Drosophila melanogaster: one gene and its partners. The protein of the gene in region 4 interacts with the protein of the main gene of each other region in a pairwise test. Each region holds a gene or a part of one and is shown on either strand. Other genes may lie near its edges.

Region 1 (5,471 bases), on a different chromosome or scaffold from region 4:
CCACTGTCCTCAGCCCGCGCAAACTACGATTGCCAAGTCGAAAGTCGGACATCCGGGATCTGGAGAATGTGCAGCCGAGCAATGTTTCTGCGGTGGGAAATAGTTGGACCCGCAAGACACCCAAGAATCAGGGAGTCCTTACAAAGCTATCACTCACACACAAGAGCAACAACTTGAACTTGAAGCAAACTCGCCTTAAATTCGAAGCAAATAGGACGAGCACCAGTGAAAAGGAAGTCATAGAGGAGAGTCCCAATTTGAGCACCAATCTGAAGAGATCTAGGCCGCCGAGATCTTTAATGCAGAGGTAATTATCCCTACGAATTATTCCAAAAGTGTCACAGAAATATCTTTCAATTACATTGCTCGAAGATCGAATTTCCTTTCTTAAGATTGCTGTGACACTTTCATTTGCCTTTCTTTTTAATACTAAATGCCAAGGTTGCAGAACAGACAACACGAGCGTTTCAAACGCAGACGACTCGCTTACCACCACCAGCAATAGCACAGTCAAGACCATAAAACCAAGTTTTCAGTTGGACATGGACGAGTTTAAATTGGACAGCTCGGAAGATCAGATAATGCCCCCACCGAACACGCCGCCAGGTTTAAAGATCAGCAACACCTCGGATAGTGTAGTTTTATTGACGCCTGCGACCCAGGATATAATCTTTGTGAATGATACACTCGAAGATGTGAGCAAACTGGGCACCATGGATGTTCTGGCCGAAATTATGAAGGACGATGACGACACGTGCTCGAGTGCTTTAAGACAGTACGAGAAGGTTATAATTGACCAGCAGAAGCAAAACCTACCAAATGCCCCAAAAGTTGAGAGCGTCATTCCAATTACCAAAGTCGTGAAAATGGAACCTATATCCCAGCCAGAAACAGACTTAGGCAACGAATCAACAAAACTGCCCGAGGATATTGAAAAGTATCTTATGGATATCAAAGAAGAGGATAGTAGGCATTCGGAGGAGGAGTTTCCGCGACCGATTTTGATCAAGGAGGAACCTGAGGCGACGGTCAAAGAACGTTTTAACATTGAGTGCGTCGAGTGCGAAAAGGTATGTACAATTTTCTCGACCATCCACAACTAAATAATATTTATTTCAAATTCGATCCACTTAGTTCATCAATTTTATGGGTTCAAATCTGACAGACGAGAAGATCAAAGATTATTTGGCAAAGTGCCGGCATGAAGACGCTCGCAGTTCAACTCCGCCGGGATTCTGGAATCCACACATGGTTTCCTTCGCAGAAGGCGATCCACGCAACGAAGTGTTGATAGACACTCGGTTTTGGGACCAGAGATAAAACAAATGACATTTAGGCAATCAATTTACAAATAGTTTTTCAGTTTAGACCATTTCATTTATTATTGATTTTGTTAGTTCTCAATTTGATCACATTTGATTCACAAGTTTCCTCGCTTGGCTTGTTCAATTTCAATGGCCGTGAACAAGGACTTAAAGTTGCCAGCGCCAAATCCCTGAAATAGTAATGATCATGATTTACTTGTTCTTAGCAACAGTAGGTTAAGCAATAAATCTTACATTGTGATTGTAGCGTTGGATAACTTCCAGGAAGAGGGTCGGTCTATCCTGGCAGTTCTTTGTGAAGATCTGCAGCAGATATCCGTTCTCGTCGAAGTCAATCAAAATGTTCAACTTCTTCAAGACCTCCATGTCCTCCTTGATCTTGGTGCGGCTGTGCGAGAGCTGCTCCTGAAGGATCTCGTAGTACGAGGATGGGATGGTCAGGAACTCGGTTCCTCGAGCCTTTAGGTTGCTCACCGCCTCGATAATGTCATCCGTATTAAGAGCAATGTGCTGGACACCACCGCCGCCGTAGTACTCCACGTACTCCTGGATCTGTGACTTCTTTTTCCCATTGGCTGGCTCATTGATCGGCATCTTCACCGTCTCCTCGTAGTTTGCCATCACGATGGACCGCAGGGCGGAGTATTCCGTGTGAATCTGCGAGTCATCCACGGACCAGAAGCGGTGGAACTGCAGGATTCTCTCGTACCAGGAGGCCACGCTCTCCATCTGCAGATCCGGCTGGTTGCCCACCACGTGATCAATGAAGTTCAGCTTGGTGGAGGGCAATCCGTTTAGAAGGACATCTTTGGGCGACCGCTGGAATCCAGGCAGGAAATCTCCAGCGTACCCATTGCGCTCCACGAAAGTGTGGGTAGTGTCGCCGTACTGCATTCAAGTTAAGGATTAATCCTTAAATATTCCAGAATGAAATCCACGGACTTACCGTCTTGATGGTAGCGAATCTCACGAATCCCTGATCATCGCTCTCCTCCCAGATGTCGCGGACCACTTCGGCCCCACGGGACACGGCCAGTGTGAAAATGGCATTCAAATCCTCCACTTCGAAGGCTACATCCTTGACACCGTCGCCGTGGCGCATCAGGTGGAGTCCATGCTCCTCGTCATCCGGCGTGTAGGCGGAGACGAACACAAAGACGATCTTGTTCTGGCGGACGGCATGCTTGGCGAAGCGTCGCTCCCCGGTCTCTAATCCCTGATAGCCAAGTGGTTCGAAGCCCAGTCGAGTGGTATAGTAGCTGGCCGCCTGCTTGGCGTTGCCAACGTAGAAGGTTAAGTGATCAAAGCTTAGAAATTTGCCGGCTTCAGGCTGAAAGTAGTGAAGAAAGTAGGTTGGCATTATACGCTCCAATATTGGCATACGCTTTCGAACTTACTTTGGTTCCTTTGTCAGTATAGCTGGTCTGTTGGTAGTTAAAAAGAAATAATAGAAGTCATTAGAATTAGATCACCTTGAAATGGATCCTTAGAAAGTCTGTATAATTATCATTGGTTTATCCGCTTTTGTTAGACAGTATTTGTTATAAATCCTGTTTGAGAACTCTTTAAAGTCCATTTAATTCGCACTAAAGGGCTGTTACATAACCACATAGCCACCACATGTCCCATCGTCTCATTTACCATTATCACTCAGACTCAATTTATGCAAATCCTCTCCTCGCACGCGATATAGATTTCTTCGTTCCGTCGATCTTACACGATCTTCAAATTGATTATGGCCTGAGCTCAGCCAGTCGGAGGCTTTTTATAGGGCGCTCAGGTAGGTGGATCAGGTGAAAATCCTGTACTAATTTAAATATAAGCCAAACTAGTATTTTGTTTATTTCGAATGCCATATTATCGGAATATCTTAGCTAGCTGGTTATTGATCGCATATTTAAGCTAAACCTGCATGGATTTGTTTACTAGAACAGGTGGATTACTTAATTAATGCAATCTCGAGCGGAATGAATTGCAATATTGTAATGCGGGTCGGGCCTCCAATCTGTTTACTTCGTATCTGAGCGGCGCTTTGCAAGTTCTGCGTTCGAAATTTCACTTCCTTAAGCTCGTTACATGAAGATACAGATAACTATGTGTTCGTTATGCAAAAGTTCGGCCCATGTCAGAATTCAGCTAAATATTCATGAAGTCAAGTCTAGTGAGTTCGAAAATCGGTTGCCAAGTCGTACTAAACTTGATTCCAGTTTCGAGCCCCCAAAAACGCAAACAATGGGCCAACTGAGTGTTAATGCTATCTGAATTGTTATTGTTATTGCCATTGTTACACAGTGCATAATGTGGGGCGTTATTGAAGTTGTTTTGCATTAGAACCGCTTTGCAAGGTTCTCAAAACAAATGTACAAAAACTGGTTAACAAATCTGTTTGTTGTTACGATCTAATAAAGCGGCACACGCTAGTCACAAATCATCTAAATTGATGATTGCCTTTATCGGTTTTTAATTGCGGGGATAATAGCTCTAAGAGGATTGGAAAAGGATTTCAAATCATTAGCTTGATGGTTATTTTCTTTATTTGAAAGCGCATAATTCAGTTGTATTTAAATATAGCAAGACTGGTTTTGGGAACTGGATTAGTTATTTAAGCAAGTTCTATTATTTTTATAGGTATTTAGGAATATCTTGCTTATAGATGAATGAGCGTTTTAGTGATCGTTATTCTTTAGTTTAAAGTTAGACAACATCACTATAAATGATACAGATAATATAGATATAGATTTAAATGTAATTCAACAAGCAGCCAATATGTTGAGATTATAAGATCATAATTGTTAAACGGCGTTTATTTCTATCATAGTAATAAAAAAAAGTTTATCTTGTGCTTGCTTTAAAGATCTTTTGATCGAGATATTGCCCCTGTGCTTTTTTTTGGGATAGGGCAGTTCTCTTAATCATTTTGACTGACGATTCGTGTCAGGTGTTTGGCAACATGCGACAAGCCCATAAATTAATAGTTTTTGCCGCTCAGCCACATGCTATGTTCCCTGCACACATGGCGTATGAGCAATTCAGGCAGCTAAGCATTAATGATTAGCCCTAGACAAAGTCTCCCCCAGCTGCTAATGATGAACTGACAGTCCGATGGAAGTGGTGAGGTGGGGATGGGATGGAATAGGTTGGGAAAGAGTGGGCGATGGTCGATTGGTCATTGGCAAGAAGCCAAATCAATGCTTGACATTTATTATGATTGGCTTATTAGGGCGCTGCATAGGCGACAATCTGGCAAAAGTGGTAGGAGTTGGAAGTGGCCCTTGTCGCCAAATTGCTCCAGATGGTATTGTAGCTATTAAACCATATGACTGAAAAGGTTCTTCTATAACAAACCCATTAAATTCCTAGGCGTATTAATAAAGAACATTCTATTCACATTCATGCAAAGTAATGCATCTGAAAATACACAATTGGGGCAACTTTCTAATTTCAAATCCTCCCAAGCCCTTTCACAACATTGATTCCATTATCGCCCTCATAAACTGCGAGGTTTTCTATTTGTTTACTTTACACCTGGCGCTCCTTGGGTTCCATTAGTCAAAGAATCCCGACGCACTCCCTCGGACCTATCCCAATAAAAATCCCAACCGCTCAGATTTGCCATTAGCTGAGCAAACTTTTGTCCTTGGCGAAATGGGAACGGTACCTGGCTGAGCTCGGGTTGGCTTCGGGTTTGATGTGGGTAGCCTGTTGCTCTATAAGGATATTAAGATTCCTTTTACCTCTCTCTTTTCTGCGGCTGGAGCGGTGAGTCCTGCGCTCTTTCGGCTAGACGGCATTGCCAGCAGTGAAAGTTTCTCACGGGGGTTGCTTTCTAAAAGGACTATTCCCAGACAGAAGGATGTGGGTCTCTATTGTTGTCGTCAGTAACTTCAAAACGGATGCACAGAAAGAAATTCGGAGTGACTCTTATTTCATTTAATGTTTTACCTTACTTTGAAAGTGCTCATGGAACTATTTGCTTATTGAGATCATAAATATTGTGTTCCTTATTTATTACCTTTATTTATATTTATATTCATATACAATTTAATATTAATCTCACTAGTTATGCAAATACTTATTTTATGGTTAAATGCTTGGAATAAAGCGGTAGTAATTTGGCTAAAATCCTTACTAAGTAAAATATTTCTA
Region 2 (4,822 bases), on a different chromosome or scaffold from region 4:
TCTGCTTTCCGAGCCATCAAGTCTAACGATGCAACAGCCAAGGTTTTAATGATTAGCAACGAGTTCCGCAAACCCTACATGCGCCCCCCACTGTCCAAGGAACTGTGGTATACGCCCAATCCTAACGAGGATCCCATCAAGGACTATCGATTCAAACAATGGACGGGATCCGAGAGAAGGTAGGTCTGAATAACTTTTTTTATATAATTGAAACCCATTAAGTTATTCCCTTCCTGTTCACAGCTTGTTCTTTGAGCCGGATGAGTTTTTCATTGACCCCGAGGATCTGGATGATAATGCAAATGGAGGGATTGCCGTCGCTCAAGGTTTCTCTGTGAAGAAGGTGGACGCTCAAAAACGCATAGTGACGTTGAACGACGGTTACGAGATAAGCTACGACGAATGCCTAATTGCCACCGGCTGTGCCCCCAAGAACCTGCCCATGCTGCGTGATGCTCCGCCCAGCGTGCTCGAAAAAGTAATGGTCTATCGCACACCCGATGACTTTGATCGCCTCCGCAAATTGGCGGCGGAAAAGCGTTCAATCACAATTGTTGGCAATGGATTTATCGGCAGTGAACTGGCCTGCTCCCTGGCACACTATTCCAGAGAGAACAATGGCGGTAAAGTGTACCAGGTGTTCCAGGAAAATGCCAACATGTCAAAGGTCCTTCCAAACTACTTGAGTCGCTGGACGACGGCAAAGATGGAAGCCCAGGGTGTCTGCGTCATCCCCAACGCCAGCATTCGCTCGGCAGTTCGCGATGAAACCAATCTAAAGTTGGAGTTAAACAATGGAATGACTTTGATGTCGGACGTGGTGGTGGTCTGCGTGGGTTGCACGCCAAACACGGATCTCGCGGGACCCAGCAGGCTAGAGGTGGACAGAAGTCTCGGCGGTTTTGTGGTTAATGCAGAGCTGGAGGCCAGGCGGAACCTGTACGTGGCCGGTGATGCTTCCTGCTTCTTCGATCCTCTGCTGGGCAGGCGACGGGTGGAGCACCATGATCACTCGGTGGTCTCTGGTCGGCTGGCCGGCGAGAACATGACGGGAGCAAGTAAGTTACTGGGCTTAAAGTTAATAACCGATCGATCATAATGTTCGCCGTACCTTTTGCAGAGAAACCTTATCAACATCAGAGCATGTTTTGGTCCGATCTAGGTCCAGAGATCGGATACGAGGGTATTGGCTTGGTGGATTCCTCGCTACCCACCGTTGGTGTGTTCGCCCTGCCCTCGGAATCCGCCACGCGCGTTGACCAACTGTCTGAGTCTAGTGATTCCGACGTGCCGGAGACCAGTACGAGTTCCAGCCAGTCGTCAAAATCTGATGCCGGGGCTAGCCAAGATGGCGTTACCTGTGATCCCGATGAGGCGGGCAACTATGGCAAGGGTGTAATATTCTACTTGAAGAACGACAAGATCGTCGGCATCCTGCTGTGGAACCTCTTCAATCGGATAGGCTTAGCTAGGACAATAATCAATCAGAATAAGAAGTACGATGACCTCAATGAGGTGGCCAAACTGTTCGAGATTCACGCGTAGAGAACAGCGAGTCCCGAGGGACCATGGAGAAGATCTGGCTACCCTGATATGCTTATCAGCACGCACCGAACAGAACCTATCCAACCCGAATGCCTTTAACTGTGTTTACTGTGTACATTTGCAACTGCAACTAGATACGAACGGCAATGACGCAATGCAACAGAAATTTTAGTTTTATTATTTTTGGAATAAACCTTATTTTGTAGTCAACGACATTGATTCGGTTATGTAGCAGCAAAGTGCATATCTCCGTGTAAATATTGAAAAGTCGTAGACAAGCGGGTCTCTGTTGAATTGTGTGTAACTTTCGTAATAAACCAAGCACCAGAAAGTTGTTGACAAAAAATTCACCGTACCAACTAAACTGTTCAAATTATTCATTTTCGGTGTTGAAAAATCCGCTTTTTGATCCTGAGGCACCCGTTATTTAACTAATCCTAAGAGATTTTGCTTTGATTCTTATTTAAATAAATCGTAGGAACTTTGGAACTTATTTTTTTTACTTCAATCATATAACCCATTTGTTTATTGTCCGAGTTGTCTCACAACGGCACAGAATTTAAATGTACATATTTTTTTGGAATTTTCCCAGAATTTGACTAAACCATCTGCCTTATAAAAGACGAGCACCTGGTTTAGGGTTTTAGGCTGGATTAGCTGAATATAGCGAGGATCAATAAAATTCGCGAAATATTATTTTCGCTGAAGTAGGATCCTACCTGACTTCTTGTGCCAAAGGTGGTTACTTATTAGGGCCACTCGGATTACCGACCAATTGGTAGGTAGAGCCCGAGAACGGGTGGCCCATAAGCAGGTACATCCTTGGGATATATAAACTTTGCCCTGAGACAAGCAGGACATCAGTTCCTTCTCGACAGTCTAATCATGAAGTACCGCATGTTGAATAAACGCAAACAGGCGACTCCCTCGCCAGTAAGAGATTCCGACGCAGCCGACGTAGCCATGGCCAACCACAGTGCTCTGGAACTGGAGGCGGCTGCGGCTCTCTTGTTGCTCCGCTACCAATACGATCGACAAGTGTGCAATAACATTATAACCTACACGGAGTCCTGTTCCCCGACTCCACCGCCGGCAGTTGCTGACAACACGACGCCAAAAGATCAGACTGTTCGTCCGCCAGTCGCCAGCCAGCCGCTGAAGAAGCGCTCCATACCATCGCACATCCTCCGCAGATCCCTGACTCCGGCCAAATCCGAGACTTCAGTGAGCAACAAGTCGATAGTCAAGGCCAAGACGAGGACTCCAATTCCCAGTAAGGAGCGAAACTGCAACAGGACCTTGCTTAAGTCCTGCAGAAATATGATTCGAGAGTTTTTGGACAATCAGGAGTTTATCTAAAAAAAAAAGTTTAACTATGTATCCTAGGATAACCGCCTGAAACCAATTCTACATTTGTAATTTTACACAAATCAAGATTTTAGAAATCTTCGCAAAAAACGCCACAGTGAATTGCACGATTGCAGAAAAGATCGAAACGAAATCCTTAAACAAATGTAGCCCAGTATATAACAGTCCCGAGAAAGATGAAGGCGATCGATCCTTGGGATCTTGGATTTCAGTTTTCAATTTATTTATTGCATATAAATTTGTTTCCTTTTTTATACATATATAAATTATGTATTGATCGAAAGATAACGTTTTCAATGGAAGAACAGGTATTGTGGCGACACTAGAGTGCTAATTATTAGCTATTGGCGGTGTTTAAACTTAAGGCGTACGAAAAACAAATAGAAAATTAACTTTAGCGTAGATCTACACAATAATTAATAATTACAGTTGCACTACAGGCTAATTGTATGAACGTGCAGCGATGATATCTTCTCCTAACTCTGTTCATTCCGTTTAATGTAATTAATAAAGTGCTTCAAATGTACATTTTCTATTGTTTCATTGTGTTTTTAGCGGGTGAGTGCGTTGTGGGTGGTGGTGGGTTGTGGAAGTGTGGTGGTAAGATCGTAAGCGTTTTACAAACTAAAGTTGTTAATGCTTAAATGAACACCTTCATTTGCTGCCACAGCGATTGCAGCCACTTAAACTAGCGTACAAATAATAAAAATAAAATTAAGAGCAATAGAAAACTAATGTGTATACATATATGCTTGTGTGTATCATCATTGCTATATTAAAATGGAAGCCAATGTTTTTCTATCCGTGTTTCTTGTTGCAGTGTATCTAGGGCTAGGGGCTCAATTGAAATTGAATTTTGAAAGCTCTTTTTCCAGGCTGATCTTGAAGCAAGAGCAGACCCATCCTCGCACGAAGGATCGCCAAACTGTTGCAGGATGGCTTTTTGGAACTGCTCTGGTTTCGTTAGCATTCAGCCAATGTGAATCAAAGATAATTCTGTTGTTATCACACGAAATCAATTTGTCTTGTTGTATACAAAAACTCTTTCTATGCTGATTTGTATATTAATTAACAATTTCGACAACAATTCAAATTTCATATTTCCTTCACATTCTCTCTTTAGATTTTAACAATATTTGTTTGTTTTTTGTTCTTTTTTTTCGTTTTCATAAATTTGAAACCATTGTTGAGGCAACATTTGTAAAGCTCAAAGGTGGCAACACTTACGGTCTAAGCTACTGGCTAATTTCTACTCCTTATTCGCTACTTATTACTTATACGATTGATTATGGTTAGGCATATTTTTGTTTATGTTTTTGTTTGATAAATGTAGAAATTGGCACATAATCGAAGGCTGCGCTGCGCCGGCTCAAGAAATCTACTTACAACAACGAAATTACATGCACTCTGCTCTTGCTTAGCTTAGCTTAATAAATACGCTTGATGTATAAAATAAATGTATTTATGTATGATTGTTTGTTGGTTTATGCAGATGTGATTTCTATGTACAGAAAGTCGGAAAGGTCGTTTGACAGCCGCAAAGAAAGTATAAAGCAGCAATGGTTAGAAGAAGCCTTTGATCAAGAATTGAATTGAATTGAATATTGAATATCAAGTTTGTGTAAGAAAGAAATACAAGATGGTTTTCATAATTTCTCTTAAATTTCGAAATGAAATTGCTACACAATCTTCAATAATGAGTTTTCCGTTTCGATTGCATTCTAAGCGACCCATCCTAACCGAAAGGCATCCAGAATTTTATCCAGCAGAGTGTCTGTCTATGTGTCTGTGCGCTTGTTGTGCTGGTCCCACATTATTTAGCTCAGGTAATGTTGTGTGTGTTCAGGAGGGAGTGGAAGATGGATGTAGTGCGGTGATTGTCTCAGGACACTTCTCCTCCTACTGCTGC
Region 3 (6,184 bases), on a different chromosome or scaffold from region 4:
GCGGCGATTCCATGCGGAATTTAGGTCGTGCGAAGGGGCCTTAAGCGCGTTCTGGGTTAAGAACCCCCGCCCACGACCCCCTTACCACAACGACCCATCCCACAATCCGAGCATCCTTTTTCCTGAACCCGGTGCGATATTTGTTGGTTGATTCGAAGGATTCCCATACCAGATTTTGATTCCGATTCGGTGGTTCTGAATTCAGATAGTGATTCGATTGGATTCGATTTCATTCGACTGGATTTGATTCGTGTTTCGCATGCAATTTGAGTTTTGAAAACGACAAACAAGGTAAAATAATAATAAAATGTGTACCAATATGTCAAGCGTCAACGAATGCAAACGCACACTGAGGTGAATTGTTAGTTGTCTACACACGTTACCTTCGGGTATTGATTGTTTTTTAAAAGAAAACACAAAAAAAAAGCCGCGAAAATCACACAACCAGATTATCGATTTTGGCCCCCGCTGAAATTGGCGCACACAACACACAAATTTGACTGGGGAACGAACAGCGGGCGATGCAAACGATTCGGTTCCGACTTGGAATATATAGCTGCCGAACTATCGGTGCAACAATCGGATCGCTCAACCGGTCGCTCCATCTGCAGGGAATACCAAAACGCCTCAGTTAAGTGGCGCGCGAATGAAGGTACTTGCGCTTAGCCACCAGCTGGGCACACTGCACGAGCCTGCATAGAGTTTTTTACGAAATTATCACAATTTAGGAGTTTTCCAATTAGAATTGGAATAAGTTCGTACTCTTAACTTGCTAACAAGTTGATTTTTAATGCAAAACTTTTCGCAGACAACTTTTCGACAAGAACAGTGCTGCCAGACTGTCAGACCGGCACCTTACTGGCGTGTTTTTATCACATTTTCTAATATTTCCAAGCTATTGAAATATTCCAAAGCTTTCTATCTGCACATTCTTTTTATATAGGTGTTCCCAGAAAATCGCCTTAGCATGGAGAGTCGTGCTAATACGGCGTTGCCAGACTGTCATTGCATTTCTTGTTGCTCTTTGCAAGAGCCCGCCAAATGAAATTTTTATTTGAATACAATTTATTTTTTTCTTCCCCCGTTCTTTTGCTTGTATAATATCCCAACTGGAAAATGTGTACTTTTCAATTACGAAACATGTACAATATATAGCAATAAAGTCCAGTAAAATCGTGGTATGTTTACAATTACTTTTTTGGGCCTGATGATACGTTGCCATTAAAGTGCAATGTCATACCACTAATGTAAGTTTTTTAACCCTTTATACCCCCCAATAGCTTGCCCATAATCCTCCCGTGAACAATCTTGAATCCCAAATGCAAGAACAAAGTTCGAATATTCAACAGGAGCTCCGCCTAATGTATGATGACGCATGTATTTTATACAGATCAAATATTTTCATACCGTTTTACAGGGTTCCGAAGAATAGAAAGTGGTAATTAAAAAAAGTATGCATTCGGTTCACCGAATTCAATTTGAATCGTTTTCCAAGTCAAATCAGGTTGGCTACAATGAGCAGACAGAATGTGGGCGGCGACACCAGATAGTGTCGCCGAATGCATGGAAAGCGATTCAATGCAACGGCCTTCCATCGAAGAAGTGTCCCAGCTGCTGGGTGTTACTTTTTCTGTTTCTTCTTCTCGAGCTCCTCCTCCTTCTCCTTCTCGATGATCTTAACATAATCGGTAATGACATCGGTGTCCAGCATTTTCAGTGGCTTGCCGTTCTCCATGATGGCCACCTCCAGATTGTTCTGGCCTGACTGCGCCACCTCGAGCAGCGCACGGATGGCCAGTTTGACGGCTCCGTGCTCGTTGGCCACCTCCTCCTCGCGGTAGGACTTCTCGAAGAACTCGCGCACAACCTTTGCCGATCGCCCGGTGGCGTTAGCCTTATACTCGTAGAAAATGCCCGACGGCTCAGTCTGGAACAGATGCGCAGAGCCATCGGCATCGAAGCCGCCAATAAGGCAGGAAATACCGAAGGGACGGCGGCCATTGCTCTGCGTGTATTTTTGTTTCAGCTGGGCAATGAATCTAAAATGAAAGGCCAAAACCATATAGAAGCTAATTTAGAGCGCAACTATTTCACAAATCCTCACCTGGTTATGTACTCGAGGGTCACGGGATCCTCGACATTGAGACGATGGCTCTGGCACTCCACCTGGGCACGATTGATCATGATGCGAGCGTCGGCCGTGAGACCGGCAAAAGCCATTACAACGTGGTTGTCGAGCATGCAAATCTTGCGCACCTTTCGATCCTCCTGCAGTTGGGCCACCGACTTCTTCTCCACGCCAAGCACAACGCAGTTGGCGCCGCGAACTCCGACCTGCGAGGCGAAAAATTGGAAAAGTCCATGTTTGTTTCGGTTTGGCGGCACTGCGAACGGTACTAAATTGCACTTACCGCAGTCGATCCCTTGCGAACGGCCTCCTGGGCATACTCCACCTGCAGGAGGTGACCGTCGGGAGAGAATATGGTTACAGCACGATCGTAGCGTGAGGACATCTTGTTGCTTTATTCAATAGCTGAGGTACTTGCAGAATATTAACTTATAGCTTTTTCCTTCTCGAATTCGCCAGGCAATGATGATGCTTTTTTGAGGAAATGCCGCAGTGTGACCGCAGCATGGGTTCGATGAAAATTACTAAATTAATACCGTTTCGCAGTGAACGATATATCGTTGCTGAAATCATGTATCAGAATCAATTCAATTCTTGTTACTTCAGTCTATTTAATATTCTATTCCATTTAGTCTATTTAAATATTTAATTTAATACTTTTGTAAACCGTTTTACAGCTTCAGGGCTGTAAATAATTTAGTAAAATATCAATTAATTTTTTTTCACATTATCTGTTATTATTGTTATTTAATAATACAAATTTATAATACAAATTATTTTCAATATATATATATATATATGTATTAATAATTATAACCAACGACTGTTACTTAAATGTACAAAATGCAATCGCTATGCCGGCCCTGGTAATCGGTGTTCATCGACAGCTTGCTGCAGCCCTCGTCGTCGCTGTAATTACAATGTGATGTGCATTTGTTTTTGTTAATAAGAATTGTCCGATTAAACATTTAGATTATCTGTTTTTAAACAATGCGATCACGGTGATATCGGTTCGTAAAGGTTTTACACACCGTGTGATTTTGTTTCAGTGCGTTTTGTTGTTCGTTTCGTAAATAAGTGGGCTTCATTTTGCCCAAAAAAGACGGGAGCCCAGACAGCTGATCACAGACTTTGGCTCACACCTGCTACAAAAAGATAATATTTATTCGAAAACCTGGCATTCGGATCGAATTTAGCAGCTGCCAGCGTATTTATATAAGAACAATTTGATTGATTATGGCGCTGCCCAGAAAACTGATATCCAAGATCTGTAAGTAAACCGAATGTTCGAAAGTACCGTTGTATATTCCCACACACACACAAGCACGTAGAAATACGACTGCATGTATATATGTGTGTGTGCGTGCGTGTTTGAAATCCTATCGTAAATTCTAGTGTTGCATGCAACTTCAGTAACTTTTAAAACAATACCACGCGTTCTTATAAACAATGCAGATATCCAATAGGAAAATCCCCAGGTGCACATATGTATGTATGTAGATACATATGAACATTGAGTGCAGCTGCAGCTGAATTGTTCGTTTTAAAGTAATTAATATCTTGTTTTACAACGCAATATCAATATCAAATAAACATCATACGGCTTCTTCAGACTTTAAAATAATATTTGTATATAGCCTTTAGAAAACTTCAATTCAATCCCAAGAACTATAGAAGTTCAAAAAGGTTTTAATCTGGGAACAAGTTTTCAATTTCTTTGAAATGCGTACATTTACGTACATATGTATGTACATATATACTGTACATATGTATGTATGTACATCGATTTCCTAGCTTTATTTTATCTGTTTTGCTTTTCAAAATACTAGTAATCCTTGTCATTCATAAATGTGGATAACGTAAAAGGTACTTATTTATTTATATCGACACAGTTTCCTTTGAAAAGATTCAAAAATCATTATAAAATTGTATTTATTGAGTATATACTAATACGAAAATATCATATTTTTATTATTATATATTTGTTGTAAGTTTTCCTTTTGATCTTGAAAAGCTGTTGTTTAAAGCATAGCTTAATCTGAACATACTAACTATATCATCATATCATGAAAACTTGCCGAAGAGGACTAACCAATTCTCATCCTTTGCAGACGATATAAAGGCACATGATAGCAGGGTCACGAGCCTTGATCTTGGCGAAACTGGACGAGTGCTGGTCACCGGAGGAGAGGATCGCAATGTGAACCTCTGGGCGATTGGTCAAAATGAGTGCTTTATGGTGAATATACTAACTACTTCCTAAATATATGTATGTACTAATCGGTGACCCTTTCCTTTCAGTCTCTGACGGGCCACAATCGTTCCATCGATTGCGTGCGTTTTGCTTATAAGGATAACTTTGTCTACTCCGCCGACGACATCGGTATAATCCGAAGATGGGATCTGAATTCACAGAAAATCTACTCCACGCTAAATGGCCACATGAAGAGTGTTCGCACTCTGGACTTTAACCCGTCTGGAGAATATGTGGTGTCCGGGAGCAATGATACCACCGTCAGGTGAGCCAAGGACCGATATATAAATAGTCAGAGTAACCCATGAGTCATTCGGAAGCTCTAGTTTCCTTATCAAGTGGCAGATTTAAAGTTTATTCGTTGATTGAAAAGGGATGGCGATATTCTCCCTCCCTCTTTTAGCTGTGCTTAATCCTATAGAATCGCGTATTTTGGGTTTAATAATCTACACAAAAGAAAAATCTCATATTTAGAAATTAGAAATTTTATATCGGTTTAATGCACATACATATTAGATGCATTGTATCTATATGGTCTTTTCTTAGATATCACTTGACCTATATATGTGTAAAACAAAGATAATATGACTCACTACATTGCACAAAAGGGGACAGGCTGACAAAGATAATATCACTTTGTGTTGTTTAGCTAAAGTTGATATTTCTTTTGGGATCTCATATATCTTATCTCTCAGATCTATTACATCCATGATCTTAAACAACATTGCATTTTCAGTTATGTGATGTTTTATTGGGAGTTTTATAAAAGTGTTACAAAAAAATACTTCTACCACCACGGGCGTTTAAACAATTGCATATGTATAGGCATATTTGTTATAGTGTATGTACAAAAAAAAACGGACGCGAAACGAATTATAAAGTCAATGATAATCCATTGCGACTAAGGCAGACTATGTGTCTCTAGGTGATCCGCGCTTACAGCTTGGCCTGTGAGCTCTTCAGGTCGACATAGGCGCCGGATATGACCTCCTTGCCGGTCTCCACGACCACGGTGCGGAAGTTGATGCGTGTGCCCTGCTTCCACAAGTCCACGCGCAAAGTCTGGCCCGGAATTACGGGTCCGGAGAAGCGCACTTTGACAGCCTTGAACAGAGCCGGGTTGTTGTCCGCAAACTGAGCGAGCACGGCGCGCACCGAGAAGCCCAGTGTGCAGAGTCCATGGAGGATGGGTGTCTTGAAGCCGGCCAGCAGGGCCATCTGGGGATCGATATGCAGGGGGTTCTTGTCGCCGGACAGACGGTACAGCGCCGCCTGGTCCTCGCTGGTCGTATACTGGACGGTTGCGTCCGGTTGGCGATTGGGCGCCGGCTGCAGCGGAACTACACCAGCGATGGGATCCTTCTTGCCTCCGAATTTGCCAGCGCCGACAATGAAAGTGGTGCTCTGGTTGCGCACCAACAGGCGGCCACTTTCGTCGAACGACTCGCTATTGGTGACGACCACGGCGCCGGATCCCTTGTCCATAACATCGAAGACCTTGCCGTTGGTCAGCAAAGTGCCACTGGTGGGCAGATCGTCAACGATCTCTAGGTACTGTTCGCCGTGCAGAATGTTGCTGAAGTCCACTTGGCTGTTGGGCAAAGCCTTGCTGAGCAGCTTGTCGGTGGACATTTGCAGCAGAAGGCCGGGCAGAACGAAGAAAGTTGGAATGGCGGCGAAATCGGCATCGTTTTCGTACAGGAAGCGCATGTCCTTCGCGTTTTTGACGGATGCCCCAATGCCCAGGGCGTAGGTAATAAGCTCTTTGCTATTGAACTCGAAGGCATCCTCGATGGCGTCGC
Region 4 (6,154 bases):
ACTTAATGCCGTGCTCGTGCTTCTCCAGCTCGCTGATGAGACTGGTGCCACGGAAGGCTGCTCCGGGTGGCAGGACTCCGCCGGATCCGGGCATCTTGTCGCTTTCGTTGAGGATGGTCTTCGCCGTGGAGAGCAGTGCAACGCAAGTGGATCCATAGCCGGGATTGGGACCCGTAACCCTCACGGTCAGTGTCTTTGTGGGCGGAGAGGTGTACTGATCGGTGGTCTCGGCTAGTTTTTCGGACTTGGGCCAGCCTGTGGCCTTCATGGTCATTCTGAAGAAGGAGCGCTCCATCCGCGCCTCACTGGGACCCTCGCGGGAAGCCATGCCGCCGGAGAAGACGGTGGGGTACTTAAGCAGCAGCTGGCGGCCAAAGGAGAACTTGGCCATAATGCCAATGATAGAGGCGAAGAGCACGACAACGCTGGCCGCAAACCATGAGGGATACGTCATGTAGGCCTGCATCTGAACGGGTCGCTTCTTCTCCAGTTCGTAAAGGAAACGCTGCGAGCGCATCACCACCGAGCGATCTGTTTCAGGGAACGGCAGGATCACCTTGTTGTCCACTTCCGCGGCACGGGAAAGCGGCGATCGTGACTTAAGAGCCGGATGAAAGTTGGGCAGACGCTCGGGAAACAACTTGCGCCGGATGGCCACAGACTCGCTCCGGTTGGCGATAGCGTGAATGGCGCTCTCCCAGGTGCCGGTGTTGAGTGCAGCACTGCCCGTTCCCTTGGTACCTCCCTTGACGCCCAGATGGACAAAGTTCTCCACTGAGTTGACCACGCCGTCGAAGTTCTTCTCCACGAAGGTGACTCCCATGTCGGCGGGAATGGAATCAAAGCCGCACGCACTGATCACGTACACGCCACGCTCCTTGGCGAGATCATGGTAGCGCAGCTGCATGGTTTCCATGTACTGTGGCTCTCCGCTTACGTCTACGTGATGCGTTCCCGCCTCGATGCAAGCCCTGACCACTCGCTCGCCGAAGAACCGATATGGTCCGGCCGTATTGACTAAAATGCGGCAGCGTTTGGCCATCTCTAGCAGTGACGCCTCGTTGTTCACGTCCGCGATGACGATCGGCGTTTGGGAGAGGTCTGTCTTGGACTTTGCACCCATCTCCCGCAGCACCGACTGCAGCTTCTCCTGGTTGCGTCCGGCGATGCCCCATTGCAGGCCCTTCAGCACGCTGACAGCCTCGAAGACGGTGTACTTTCCGGTAAACCCGGAGGCACCGAAGATTATGGCATCCAGTTTCTTAGCCGCCATTCCAGAGTCCACAGATATGCGACTATAATGATTTGACTAGAAATGTCTTATCACTTCCAGACCGAAAGGTAATTCGTCTGCTTCGGCCGACTGGCGAAATGTTAATAATGCTAATCGCACCGTATAAGAGCTGTATTTATTGAAGATAGTAGCGTCGTGACTGTACAAAACTGAATCGAACAGGTAAAGATCGATTGCAGATAGCAACAAGTGGCTAGTAACTCGGATAATGAAGTTGAAATGAAATAAAATATTTTTACTAGAAACTATTGAAAATGAAAATGCTTTGCGTCCTTTTTTATCGATGATAATTTAATTTATGGTGATGATGGTTTAATTTACATCCTAATACTTAAAATCCCTCAGATCAAATTGTTAGTTCTCGAACTACTACGCATAAACTTCGATAGCCAACAAGAAATCGATGAATTTTAAAACGATAAATTGGCCAAGTTTAAATATATGAATTTAATGAAGTTGTGTGCCATTAAAATAGAAAAAATATATATTAAAGAATTAGAAAACAGAATTTCGAAATATTCTGTTTCTATATTTTAAACATAATATTGGTATGCTCAGAGTCGTCAGCATTTTCTCCAACACGCCGTGATAATGAAATGATGAGTGATATTCTAAATCATTTGCGCTCAGAAATTTGTACATACTTGTGTGTATTACAGACAACAAGTATTTTATCAAATGCAGTACACGAAGCTTTGTTAGAAAGCTCTGCGTGGGGACAACAAAACGCTCCCGATTGTTTGTGGCGTAGTTAGTTATATTCTGGACGCTTAGATCGCCAAGCTAGGGTCAACATGTTGTGGGAGTTCTTCGCCCTATTTGCGATCGCTGCCGCCTTGTTCTACCGTTGGGCGTCCGCCAACAATGATTTCTTCAAGGATAGGGGCATCGCCTATGAAAAGCCAGTGCTCTACTTTGGCAACATGGCCGGCATGTTCCTGCGGAAGAGGGCCATGTTTGACATAGTCTGTGATCTCTACACCAAAGGCGGAAGTAAGAAGTGAGTTAAATTCATTGATCCGGATTTAATAAGTTGATTACCTAATATGCATCCGGCTCACTTGCACTTGCACTTAAAACACGTTTGGAACAAGTGTGTATCTACTGGCCTCCAGCATTGCGTACAAGCCTATATAAAATCGTATGTCAAGGTCAGGCAATCAGTGATCTATCTATACACACATTTAGTGGGTGCGGCTGCGTTCGACTACGTTTTGAATATACAATTACAGAAATTCAGAAATACTCTATTATATTTTGTTAAGTCTTTTATCTAAAGCAGTGTGTAACTGCCAAGATAATTGGCGAAATGCTTGGTTCTATTAGTTTAGTTTGCCATAATCTTATCGATTATACGACAGCTTTAAATGTTGTTTGTCTCGGACGGCAAACTTGATAGGAAAAATAATTGATAAAGCTCCTGAAAAGTGCTATAACGATAAGGTTATCTAATTTATTAATTAACTTCATATTGGGGCAACTCTTTGTATGACTTTACCCTTTTTGTTACTTTATAAACATGCAATCATTATTGTACTCAGCCTTTTCAATTGGATTTAATGTACATATGATTTATTTATAGACCAATACGAGAAATCCGCTTTATAAATTTATAGTTTTCCAAAAAGAAATCGAGATGGGTTAATTGAAAATTCGTCGGATAGGTAATGAACAACGCTAGCCATGCATAAACTCGAATTTCTGTTATCGTTTTCTAAACTTGTTGAGCGCACGATTAATAATTTCTGATTTGATTTATCAGTGTGTGACTCACAAAAAGCTTATCGGTCATTAACATTATTATTTTTTTTAGATTTTTTGGTATCTTTGAGCAGCGACAACCACTTTTAATGGTGCGCGACCCAGATCTTATCAAGCAGATAACCATAAAGGACTTCGATCACTTTATCAATCATCGCAATGTGTTTGCCACCAGCAGCGATGATGATCCACATGACATGAGTAACCTTTTCGGCAGCTCGCTGTTCTCCATGCGAGATGCTCGGTGGAAGGATATGCGAAGCACTCTGAGTCCGGCATTTACAGGCAGCAAAATGCGTCAGATGTTCCAGCTGATGAACCAGGTGGCCAAGGAGGCCGTGGACTGTCTTAAGCAGGATGATTCAAGGGTTCAGGAGAATGAACTGGACATGAAGGACTACTGCACACGATTCACCAATGATGTGATCGCCTCGACAGCCTTTGGACTGCAAGTGAACTCGTTCAAGGATCGCGAAAATACCTTCTATCAGATGGGAAAAAAGCTGACCACATTTACATTCCTGCAGAGCATGAAGTTCATGTTGTTCTTCGCATTGAAGGGTCTTAATAAGGTTGGCACAGCATACACACATATCAAAAAAATATATTCCTTAATTTTAATAATCCTTGTAGATCCTTAAGGTCGAGCTTTTCGATAGGAAAAGCACTCAGTATTTCGTGCGTCTGGTGCTCGATGCTATGAAATACCGACAGGAGCACAATATTGTACGTCCCGACATGATAAACATGCTGATGGAGGCTCGTGGTATCATCCAGACGGAGAAGACCAAGGCATCTGCCGTTCGCGAGTGGAGCGATCGCGACATTGTCGCCCAGTGTTTCGTGTTCTTCTTTGCTGGCTTCGAGACTTCGGCGGTGCTGATGTGCTTCACCGCTCACGAGCTAATGGAGAACCAGGATGTGCAGCAGAGGCTATACGAGGAGGTACAGCAAGTGGACCAAGACCTGGAGGGCAAAGAACTGACCTATGAGGCAATTATGGGCATGAAGTATCTGGATCAGGTCGTCAACGAGGTTCTGCGAAAGTGGCCGGCGGCAATTGCCGTCGATCGAGAATGCAACAAGGATATCACCTTCGATGTGGATGGCCAGAAAGTCGAGGTCAAGAAGGGCGATGTCATCTGGCTGCCTACATGCGGCTTCCATCGTGATCCCAAGTACTTTGAGAACCCTATGAAGTTCGATCCGGAACGTTTTAGCGATGAGAACAAGGAGTCTATTCAGCCATTCACATACTTCCCCTTTGGCCTGGGTCAACGCAACTGCATTGGTAAGTTGATTGATTCAAAATTGTTCTTCGAAAAAATGTAAAATGTATTTATTATAGGTTCCCGATTCGCTCTACTTGAAGCAAAGGCTGTTATCTACTATCTTTTGAAGGACTACCGCTTTGCCCCTGCCAAGAAATCCTGCATTCCACTAGAGCTCATTACTTCCGGTTTTCAGTTGTCACCCAAAGGCGGCTTTTGGATTAAACTTGTTCAAAGGAACTAATCTTATAAACGATCAAAATAATAATATGTTTTGTTGAATGTTATGTTTTAAAGAAGTTGACATTATTAAATTTAAACAATTAATGGTAATTTGTTTCTTTGTTTTTAATTTATACCAAAAATGATAAAAAGATAGCATATACTTATGTCGTGACTCTACAAAACTGAATCGAACAGGTAAAGATCGATTGCAGATAACAACGAGTGGCTCGTTTACACGGTAACTCTGATAATGAAGTTGAAATTAAATAAATAATTTTTACCAGAAACTATTGAAAATGAAAATGCTTGGCGGAGTTTTTATCGATGATATCACGTTTAATTTACATCCTAATACTTAAAATCCCTCAACTTAAATTGTTAGTTCTTGAACTACTACGCATAAACTTCGATAGCCAACATGAAATCGATTGCTTTTAAAACGATAATTTGGCCAAGATTAAATATTTAAATTTAATGAAGTTGTGTGCCATTAAAATAGAAAAAAATTATTAAAATTTATTAAAGAATTAGAAAACAAAATTTCGAAATATTTTGTCTCTATATTTTAAACATAAGATTGGTATGCTTTATAAGTGCATAAGATACATGCAATTAATTTGTTTACATTTGCAACCGGCTGAGTTGACGCTGTTGAGACGAAACTCTGCATGGAGGCATTATCCCGAAGATCGGTGATGGAATTATTCACTGAAACGGTTTCAAAGGTGTACAGGGCGCGGAATCCGATGGCCACAAAGCGATCATTGGAATGCAAGGTGACTCGAAAGAAACGTCCATCAGAACGCATTTCAAAATCGGGAAGCTTTCCGCAGTATCTGCTGAACTTTCGATCCGTGCTCATGAAATTGGAAAACTCGATGTAATCGCTGGCGGTTTGGTGGTCACAACTGCACAGAAAAGGGGATTAAACATTTTTAGGTGATAGTTTAGATAAAGATCTTACCTTCCAATGCCCTCGATATCGAAATATGTGAAGTGAAGCACAACTCTTTCGTCACTTGCTCCGTAGAAATAATAATTGCACACAACATTTTCCAGGTAATATCCGGGAAAATTCGGAGAGTGAAATAGGCCACTTATTCGCTCGCTGCTATTGTAGACAAAGGAACATCCTTCCTTTTGAATCCCCGACATGATACCAAAATCTTGAAAATAAGCCAATTTTTAAATAAATATCAGTCTTTATTTGATTAAGACTCAGTGGAAACACTTACTGGTTAAGAAACGGTACTCCGCGCGAAATCCGTAGTATTGCACCTTGTTCGTCATTGTGGGCGGATATTTTCCGACAAACTGAAGGTGTAGCTGCTGTCCACTGGACATCAGTGGCTTGGGCAGGAAGGCGCCGCAGAGCAGTTCCTGCGTCTCGTACCGTCCACGCAGCTCGGTGACCACGTGCAGCGCATCGCCCGGCTGGCAACCCGTGGAATTCTCGTGCTCCGTAGGCACGTTGAAGTCGTGGAATCGAATCTGCACCCGTTCTGGCGCCTGAGCTTCAAATTCGTAACGGCATTGCAAGACTCTCGAGCCGCCAATTACAACGCCGCCGAGCGCGTGTTTGGCGAGCAACAGCTGATTTGAG

What was found.
Region 1: the proteins of Cyp9f2 (region 4) and Hpd interact in a two-hybrid assay, tested with the Drosophila melanogaster proteins (one large-scale study listed by BioGRID).
Region 2: the proteins of Cyp9f2 (region 4) and CG15382 interact in a two-hybrid assay, tested with the Drosophila melanogaster proteins (one large-scale study listed by BioGRID).
Region 3: the proteins of Cyp9f2 (region 4) and kat80 interact in a two-hybrid assay, tested with the Drosophila melanogaster proteins (one large-scale study listed by BioGRID).

What each region holds. Positions count from the first base shown.
Region 1 is NT_037436.4:20,436,806-20,442,276, forward strand, and holds Hpd (4-hydroxyphenylpyruvate dioxygenase), read right to left. Parts: upstream 3,068-5,471; 5' UTR 2,970-3,067; coding exon 2,967-2,969; exon of another isoform or gene 2,750-2,966; coding exon 2,723-2,749; intron 2,656-2,722; coding exon 2,272-2,655; intron 2,214-2,271; coding exon 1,560-2,213; exon of another isoform or gene 1,496-1,559; coding exon 1,421-1,495; 3' UTR 1,361-1,420; downstream 1-1,360. Other genes in the region: CtIP (CTBP-interacting protein), read left to right, coding at 1-307, 449-1,070, 1,135-1,320.
Region 2 is NT_033779.5:2,153,353-2,158,174, forward strand, and holds CG15382 (uncharacterized protein), read left to right. Parts: upstream 1-2,400; 5' UTR 2,401-2,430; coding exon 2,431-2,904; 3' UTR 2,905-3,438; downstream 3,439-4,822. Other genes in the region: AIF (apoptosis inducing factor), read left to right, coding at 1-179, 244-1,058, 1,121-1,545; aop (anterior open), read right to left, coding at 4,813-4,822.
Region 3 is NC_004354.4:16,272,747-16,278,930, reverse strand, and holds the start of kat80 (katanin 80), read left to right. Parts: upstream 1-2,750; 5' UTR 2,751-2,815; intron 2,816-3,013; exon of another isoform or gene 3,014-3,177; 5' UTR 3,178-3,364; coding exon 3,365-3,398; intron 3,399-4,239; coding exon 4,240-4,367; intron 4,368-4,429; coding exon 4,430-4,647; intron 4,648-5,115; exon of another isoform or gene 5,116-5,318; coding exon of another isoform or gene 5,319-6,184. Other genes in the region: Prosalpha4 (proteasome alpha4 subunit), read right to left, coding at 1,622-2,039, 2,105-2,334, 2,412-2,513; Mfe2 (peroxisomal multifunctional enzyme type 2), read right to left, coding at 5,319-6,184.
Region 4 is NT_033777.3:12,401,843-12,407,996, reverse strand, and holds Cyp9f2 (cytochrome P450 9f2), read left to right. Parts: upstream 1-1,968; 5' UTR 1,969-2,088; coding exon 2,089-2,294; intron 2,295-3,107; coding exon 3,108-3,627; intron 3,628-3,688; coding exon 3,689-4,346; intron 4,347-4,403; coding exon 4,404-4,570; 3' UTR 4,571-4,657; downstream 4,658-6,154. Other genes in the region: CG5167 (uncharacterized protein), read right to left, coding at 1-1,273; Sol1, read right to left, coding at 5,117-5,459, 5,516-5,717, 5,787-6,154. UniProt on the Drosophila melanogaster protein: May be involved in the metabolism of insect hormones and in the breakdown of synthetic insecticides.